2 linked regions of the Canis lupus familiaris genome follow. The protein of the gene in region 2 purifies or fractionates together with the protein of the main gene of each other region. This does not show direct contact. Links are inferred from orthologs where the notes say so. Each region holds a gene or a part of one and is shown on either strand. Other genes may lie near its edges. The genes, in order: MARK2 and MTCL1.

The links.
Region 1: the proteins of MTCL1 (region 2) and MARK2 purify together in Homo sapiens (affinity purification with mass spectrometry; 5 studies listed by BioGRID and IntAct, with this or other methods). This does not show direct contact. The link is inferred for Canis lupus familiaris from reciprocal best matches to the Homo sapiens genes MTCL1 and MARK2.

What each region holds. Positions count from the first base shown.
Region 1 is NC_049239.1:53,622,140-53,625,955, reverse strand, and holds part of MARK2 (serine/threonine-protein kinase MARK2), read left to right. Parts: intron 1-1,227; coding exon 1,228-1,407; intron 1,408-1,629; coding exon 1,630-1,683; intron 1,684-3,816. UniProt on the Homo sapiens protein: Serine/threonine-protein kinase. Involved in cell polarity and microtubule dynamics regulation. Phosphorylates CRTC2/TORC2, DCX, HDAC7, KIF13B, MAP2, MAP4 and RAB11FIP2. Phosphorylates the microtubule-associated protein MAPT/TAU.
Region 2 is NC_049228.1:75,042,300-75,046,031, reverse strand, and holds the end of MTCL1 (microtubule cross-linking factor 1), read right to left. Parts: intron 1,875-3,732; coding exon 1,680-1,874; 3' UTR 693-1,679; downstream 1-692. UniProt on the Homo sapiens protein: Microtubule-associated factor involved in the late phase of epithelial polarization and microtubule dynamics regulation.

The sequences.
Region 1 (3,816 bases), on a different chromosome or scaffold from region 2:
ACATGCGTCATCACAGAAACCCTACACCCCTTACTTGTCCCCCCTAAGTCCCCACCCTCAGCCAGCCCTAGATTAATCTTTCTCCGTGGATTTGCTCATTCTGAACATTTTAGATAAATGGAAACCATATAATGTGTGGTGCTTTGTGACCAGCTTTGTTCACTCAACGTCCTGCCTTCAAGGCTCCTCATGTGGTAGCAGGTGTCAGTACTCGCTGCTTTTCATTGCCGACCAGCATCCCGCTATGTGGCTTTCTCCACAGTGTGTTCTCCATCTGTCACTTAATGGCCATTCATGGTGTTTCCCTTCCGGGGCTCCCGTGAGCATAGGATGTTATGAACACACATTGGTATGGCTGTCCGTCACCTTCCTCTTAGATACTCACCAAGGGGCATAGCAGCTCTGTGTTTAGCCACCTGAGGAGCACACAGATTTTTTAGTAAATGGATGTTTTCCTCTGGGCCGTGCAACTTTGGGGTTATGTGTATGTAGCTGTTCGGTGCCCTGGCCATCACTTCTGCTTTGTCACACCCTTTTTCGAGCAACAGGATATCTGAGGAGGGCAGACAGTCGCCTTGCTCCGACCCTGTCATTCAGTTTGTTCACAGCACAAGTTTCATTGAGCATGTACCATAACTCAGATTGTGTAGGTACTGGGATGTGTCAGGGAATAAATGAGTTATGCCTGCCTTCATGAGCTTCCATTCTCGTCGGGATTGACAACAAATGAATGTAAAGTGATAGATAATAAAAGTAAAGGTGAAGCATTGGGTGGTGATGAGTGCTTTGACGAAATTCTGACTGTTCGGCTCCTGGGGCTTTGGGGCTTTGCCGTGTAGCCTTGTCACAGTGTGAACAGGCAGCAGGGCGGCCAGCAGGAGGCACTCGCCCACAGGGGGGAGGTGCGGAGATGCTGGTGGCTTATTGAGGGTGGAGCCAGCAGTGGCACAGCGGTGGGACAATGCCAGTCCTGAGCTCCCATGCCCATAGGTCCCACAGGTCCCACAGGATGTTGGCACTGGACCATATGCTCTACTCCCTTGGAGTGAAGACTGGCTCATTTCTCTTCCCCCTCCTGCGTTTGGATCCTTTCCCTGCCTGCCAGCCCCCTGCAGTCCATCCTGATTCCTCCAGCCTCTTAGGTTTTTTGCCGAGAGCTAAGGAAGGGCAAGGGTCTGGGGAACTGAGGGCAGCCTACGGAAAGGTGTGCATGTCTCCACCCTGCAGCCCACCTTGGGACACCTCGACCCCAAGCCCACCAGTAAGTCCAACATGCTGCGGGGCCGCAACTCAGCCGCCTCTGCTGACGAGCAGCCCCATATCGGCAACTACCGACTCCTTAAGACCATCGGCAAGGGCAACTTCGCCAAGGTGAAGCTGGCCCGGCACATCCTGACTGGGAAAGAGGTGAGCTCCGGGGGCGGGGCCGGCCGCACCTCCCAGCTGTTGGCACCCAGCAGGAAGCGGTGGCACCACTGCCGCAGCCACCTTCTGGTTTGTCAGGTGGAAGTGCTGAGAGGGATGGGGCACAGAAGAGGTGGAAATATAGAGGAAGAGGGAGAGGAGAGTTGAGTCCTGGGTTAAGCCTGCTCTAAAGAGGGAATCTGGGGCTTTTTGTCTCATGTGCAGGTAGCTGTGAAGATCATTGACAAGACTCAACTGAACTCCTCCAGTCTCCAGAAAGTAAGCATACAGCATTTCCTGTTGCTTTCTAAACCTCTCTTTAGGGGTCAGTGATCTACTGATCTCATGTGGGCCTCCCTTTGAATCCCCAATTTTAAAAATCTCTAGTCATTCACTGTCCTCACTGCTCCATGGCTCTGCTATCTCTGGGGCTCTGATTGGATCCATCACGTTAACCCCTCCTGGATAGGCTTCCTGACCACAGGCACTGGCTCTTTAGAAGTCTTTCTGCCCTTCCCTGCCATTTGGCCTATCTAGGTGACCTACTTCCTACATCTTGTTATCTTCTGGCCTGTGGCCAGCTCTGTGCAAAAACACACTTTCGTAGCCATTACTAGAAACATGCCTTTGGGTAACTGCAAGATCGGGAATGATCCAGAGGAGTGGCTCTAGACATACAGGGACCCTGCCACCAGATTCTATGCCTGCTACATTTTAGGGGATGAGAATATGGAAGACTGGCACTGGGGTTTTTAGAAGCTAAACTCCAGGTCAAGCCTGTGACAGTTTGCAAGTGGAGGACAGGTACTCCCAGTTTGCCTCTTCACTCCTAAGTTCCTCTTGGCTAAAAGTCATGACATCATTTGCATGTAGTGTTCACTAGGTGAGGTTGAATTTTTCCTTCCCTCCTTAACTCAGGGTGGGAAACTGAGGTCTATGTTAGCTAGCTGGTCAGGGGACTCCTTTAGGTAGGAACACCTACCCCCTGGTTGGGAAACTGTGAAGAGTTCGTGGGGACATGAAAAGGAGGCTTTTATTTGCAGTATGGGACAGCTTGCTGGTGGTGACAGGTTGATGTAGAACTGGAGACTCTCTGCCCTCTCCCCTCATCTTGTGCTCCAAGCAGTTAGGGGGAAGGAGGAAATAGCCCATCTGGCTCCCCAAAAGCTGCCCCTGGTCAGTTGGGTCAGATTTCCTTGTGCCCTCACACTCCCCTGACCCTGGCTCAAATGTGCTAACCTTGATTCACCTTAGTTCTTTCTATCATGAGATAGACTGAATTTTTTTTTTCATTAGCACATGTGTTATTTGAGTTAGGAGAGGTCATAACTTCATGCAGCAGTCAACTACAGTGAGGTTGGGAAGCTTAGGGCAGGGTTTAGGGGCTGGTGTTGAGAGAGGCACTAGCATCATGGAGGTTGAGGTGCCTTGACTCGCTGGCATCCAAAACCAAGGTGTTTCCTATTTTTTTGTTAGCCCTGGGATCCCCTCAAGGTTCTTTGGTTCAGAGGAAACACTGCTGTCATCACTAGGGCTTTCCTGCTTAGAGCTTTCCGGAAGGAAGGGAAAGAGGGCTACTCTTGATGTTTTGGCCCAGACCCTACAGGGTGGAAGCCAGTTTGGTGTGGGCCGTTTGGTCTTTGGTGCAGTCCAGCCTGCCATATGGTAATAGCCACAGTCAGTCAAGCCATCTTATCTCCCTTTTTTTCTCCTTGCCTCTTCCTGACTGGCTGGAAGGCAGCAATGCCAGACAAATGTAGCCATTTGAAAAGCCTATTAACACACTCTTACCAAGGCCAATCTGATTCTGGCCAAATCACTGTTTAAATTTGATCCCAGCAGTGATCCGTAAAAAGGACAATAGTGAAGAATCTGTCCCCCCTCAGGGTTCTCAGCTAAGCCTAGAAAACTCCACATTATCCTAGGAGAATGCCCCTTCCAGGCCAGTGGGTGCTCTCAGGAGGAGAGCCCTGGCCCCCACCTCCGACCCCATCTCAGTGTTGCTTCCCACCCCTGTGGTAGTATCCGGGATTTTTTGCCTCCTTATCCAAGACAATTGCTGGACCAGGGAAGAAGGCACGAGAAACCTGGGCTCTAACAAGAAAAGGGAGCCAAATTCAGAATCAGACTCCTGAAGATTGGAAAGCTTGTCTCTTCTTTTCCTTTCCAGATTACAAAAGCTCTCAGACCTCATTAAGAGGAAAAACCATGTTCACTTGATTCCATAAACTATCCTGAATTAGGTCTCCAGACCTCACCTCCCCCCAGAAAAACCAAAACAAAATATAAACAACTAGTTCTGCTCTCTGTGCAAATGGTGAGGCCTGGGAGTTACCAAAACCCCACCTCCAGTTCTCTGGCCCCCGCAGAAAGAATGGAGTTCGTTTCTGTCATCTTTCTTTATGGAAATAC
Region 2 (3,732 bases):
TGCTGGGGCACAGATAATTGTTTCACCTCAGGACCCATCCTGCTGTTCTCCACAGCGGCTGCACAAACAGCACCCCAGGGTTCCAGCATCTCCACGTTCTCACCAATAGATGGTATTTTCCATTTTAGGGGAAAATATTTAACTTAAAGGTAGAACTGTTGTAATGCTGGGAATAGAGCTTATTCTGTTAGCCAGTCTAGAGAAGGACAGCACTGTTGAGTCAATGGGACATGAAGGCCAGAAGCTTCGGCCCAAAGTAGTTCTTTCACTCTTTACCAGCATCACCTCTTTATAAACTCCCTACTCTGTTACACACTGACAGGCCGGGTGACACCTCTTTGTCAGGGAGGGAAGCCGGTCCTGGTGATTGGCCACTCCCCCTTTCCCAGGGAGGGGAGAGGGAGAGAGGCCAGGCACATTTTGACTTGTGGGTAACAGTTGCCTCACACCTCCATGCCCGCCATGTTTTCAACCAGAAGTTGCCTTGTCATCAACCCCAGGGCGCTCTTATGGAGAAGAGGGAAGCTGTGGCATACCAGGTGCTCACGGTGTACCCCCAGTGAGGTGTGTTAGCAGCTGTTGCCTCTTTACAGGACCTCCCCTTTTCCTCGTTCCCCTGGCTACGGAAAACTATTGCTTGAGCCCTTAGGGGAAGATGGAGGGCATGTGAAACATGAGGTCCCGGAACAGGCTGCCATCTTGAAAGGCTTTATTTCTACTTCATCATTGTCTCATACAGACTCTGAGGGACCATCCTTTGCTTCAGTTTGGTACCCTCCGGACTTTTTGCAGTGCTTTTCCTTAAACAAGAAAATTTTGAGTAAACACTGTATATTGCCAGTTCATCTTTAACAATAATTTAAAAATGCCATTGCTGTTGTATCTCAATGCAAGAGGACAACGATGAAAGTACAGTACGAGGGATTCACAACGTATTACAGTGGGACAGATGACTCACACTTACGCAATGGTAGGACCACAGTAGCAGTATGTACATGCACCCCAGAGCGCTTCGAACCCAAAGACATGCAAGTCGAGTAGAGTACGTGGATTATACAGCAAATTTGGTAAGCCCAGCTGAGGACTCTGTACCTTTGCAAGAATGCTGACGTGTATCCCCTCCAGTAGAGAGGATATCCGTCTTGTCGACTGGCTTCATGGCTTTTTCACTATAAAAAGTTCACTGAATCAGTCTGAAGCATTTCAAAAATTCTTAAAAAACAAGAACACTGACAAAATGAAGTTAACTTAAAACACTCTACTTCAATGTGGGAACAAATCAAACCAAGGCGTAACAGTGCAAATTTAACAGAGAGGCAGTCAGTATTGAGAGCAAGGGTGTTCAGAATCTCTTAAAATGTACATCTTTAAAACTTTTATTTTTTAAATTTATATCTTATCTAGCTTTTTTGTTTAATATACTGTGTAAAAAAGATGGAGACAAAAATAGTTTTCTGAGCTATGAAAAAAATTAAGTTATTACAGGCACGTTTACGGTTTCGTTCTAGAAACATCTCAGGTTCACAGGTTGGACATTCAGCAGCTGTGTGTTTTTTAAAAACATTCTTTGACCTTGGGAAAGCTAGATCTTTCCTTGTGGGTGGAGCTTGGTTGATGACAGCGTGGTTATGCAAATTACAGGGAATCATTCCCTGATAATCCATGCAAACTTGCACTCGTCACAGGTGTGTCTTCTCCCCCGGTGGCTCCTCATCGCCGAGCTCCTCCAAGGAGGCTGGGTCTCCGGGTGACTGAGCCAGTGAGGCAGTGGGGGAATGTGAGGCCCAACGGGACGGAAGGCGACGGTTTGCTGGTCTCTCGGGCCTGGAGAAGCAGGGTTCTAGGGATGGAGCTAGTGCGGAACAAGGTAGTTCCTTCAAAGCCGAGAAAGAGAAAGACAGGGTTACTCAGAACCACAGTTCCTTTGTGGGGGGAAGGGGGTGACTCTCCCCAAACACACTTCTCAACAGACTCCAGTTAAATGCAATGGATTAGGGGCAACTTCCCAATGTTAATTTATACTTGCTCCAGGAGAATAACAAAATGGTCAGTGAAAAATTCAAACAGATGATCAGTGACAGAGGAATGAGAAGATAGCAAATTATGATCAAAATATGGCAATGCTGTGAGATGGGTATGTTTACACAAGCATCTTCAGAATTGGGCTAGAGCCTATGGAAGGTGGGGGAAAGCCACAGGCCACCTGGTCATGGTCTGACTTGGCTGACCCCATCCTTCTGGCCCTCCTGAGTGATCTATTAGCCACAGTGACCTGGCCCTAAAAGGCCAGTCTCCCTACCCTTTGGTCTGTTGGAGGCCCATGAAGAGACGGATGATTTATCCAGCTGTATTAGCAAAAAGACTCACCTTAAAACGAACTCTGCTACTGTTTATTCCAAGTTGACTGACAGTGGGTTAAACAAACTCCCACAACATGGAAAAAAAATGCTGCAGGCAGAAATTTTAACTTCGGTCTGGTTTTTAATGACTCTTCCCTGCTGCAGCATTTTAGAAAGTGGCATCAGAGTGTGCTTGTGCTTCTGTTATAGGCATCCTACGCCTTCTGAGAACAGATAATGCAAGACACACTCAACTGTGGGGCAGACCACCTATAATACATCTTCCCGGGCCAAGGCTCCTTTTCTGGTGTTAACGAATGTCCAGCTACTTGTCCTTAGTCTGCAGGCTAGGAAACAAGGATGCCCAAACCTGGAGTCTGCTGGTGCACGAAGAGTGCGGGTGGTGGGAGGAAACCCGAGTTCACCGGGCGGAACCCACCTGCCCAGGTGACACTCAAACAAGAAAAAGCTGAGATGGTAAGCCACTGCAATGAAGAATGACAGCAAATACAGGCTCTCAGAGCCCAAAGGGAAGGACATCAGAGGACGGACATAGATGTGACAAGCAAGTGCAGAGGCCAGGATGAGGAGGGTTTAGTCTGCAGAGCAGGGAGTGACAGTGGAGAAGAGACGGTGGGCTGTATCCATGGGCACAGTGAGGACTAAGGAGAAGAGGGGAGGCAGAGCGCCGCCTTGGGGCTTCTGGAAGAGTGATGGAGTGAGGTGGGCCTTGCTTCCCCGTGGGCCCCACGGGAAATGGCATGAACACTGAGATACTTCTAAACATCCCCGGCCTCCTTGTGACGGCAGTTGTAGCAGAGGATGGGGAAACCTTGATTAGCAAAGTGCTAGGCTGGTGGGAACCATGGCAACCAGGAAGACCTCGCCCACAAAGGCCTGAAATAGCTGAAATGCAAACTAGGTGGGGTGAGCTGTCCTCTCCTCACCTCAGCCCTGCTATGCACATGCGTGGAGGTGCATGGTTTAGGACACCTGCTACTGCTTTGTCTTTTTCTGTCTCTGCTCCTCCTATTGTCAGATTTGTGTGTTGTGTGTTTGTATTGTGTATGTTGTGTAGTATATAAGTGTGTTGTGTATGTGTGACATCATGTTGTGTACAAGTATGTGCCTTGTATGAGGATGTTATGTGTGCATCGTGGGTCATTTTGTGCATGAGTGTCATGTGCTGCATGTGCTATGTATGAGTGTGTGGTGTGTGCCAGGTGTGAATACTGAGATGGCTGCTATCATGGGTTTTTTCCAACACCGCTGCAGCCCATTGCCACCTGGCCGATACTGAACCAGAACGGGCTTTTGATTAGACAGCGTGGTGCCACTTCTTCATCATGTGAACCCCTATAGGGAGAAATGTGTGACCGGGTTCAAGAATGGA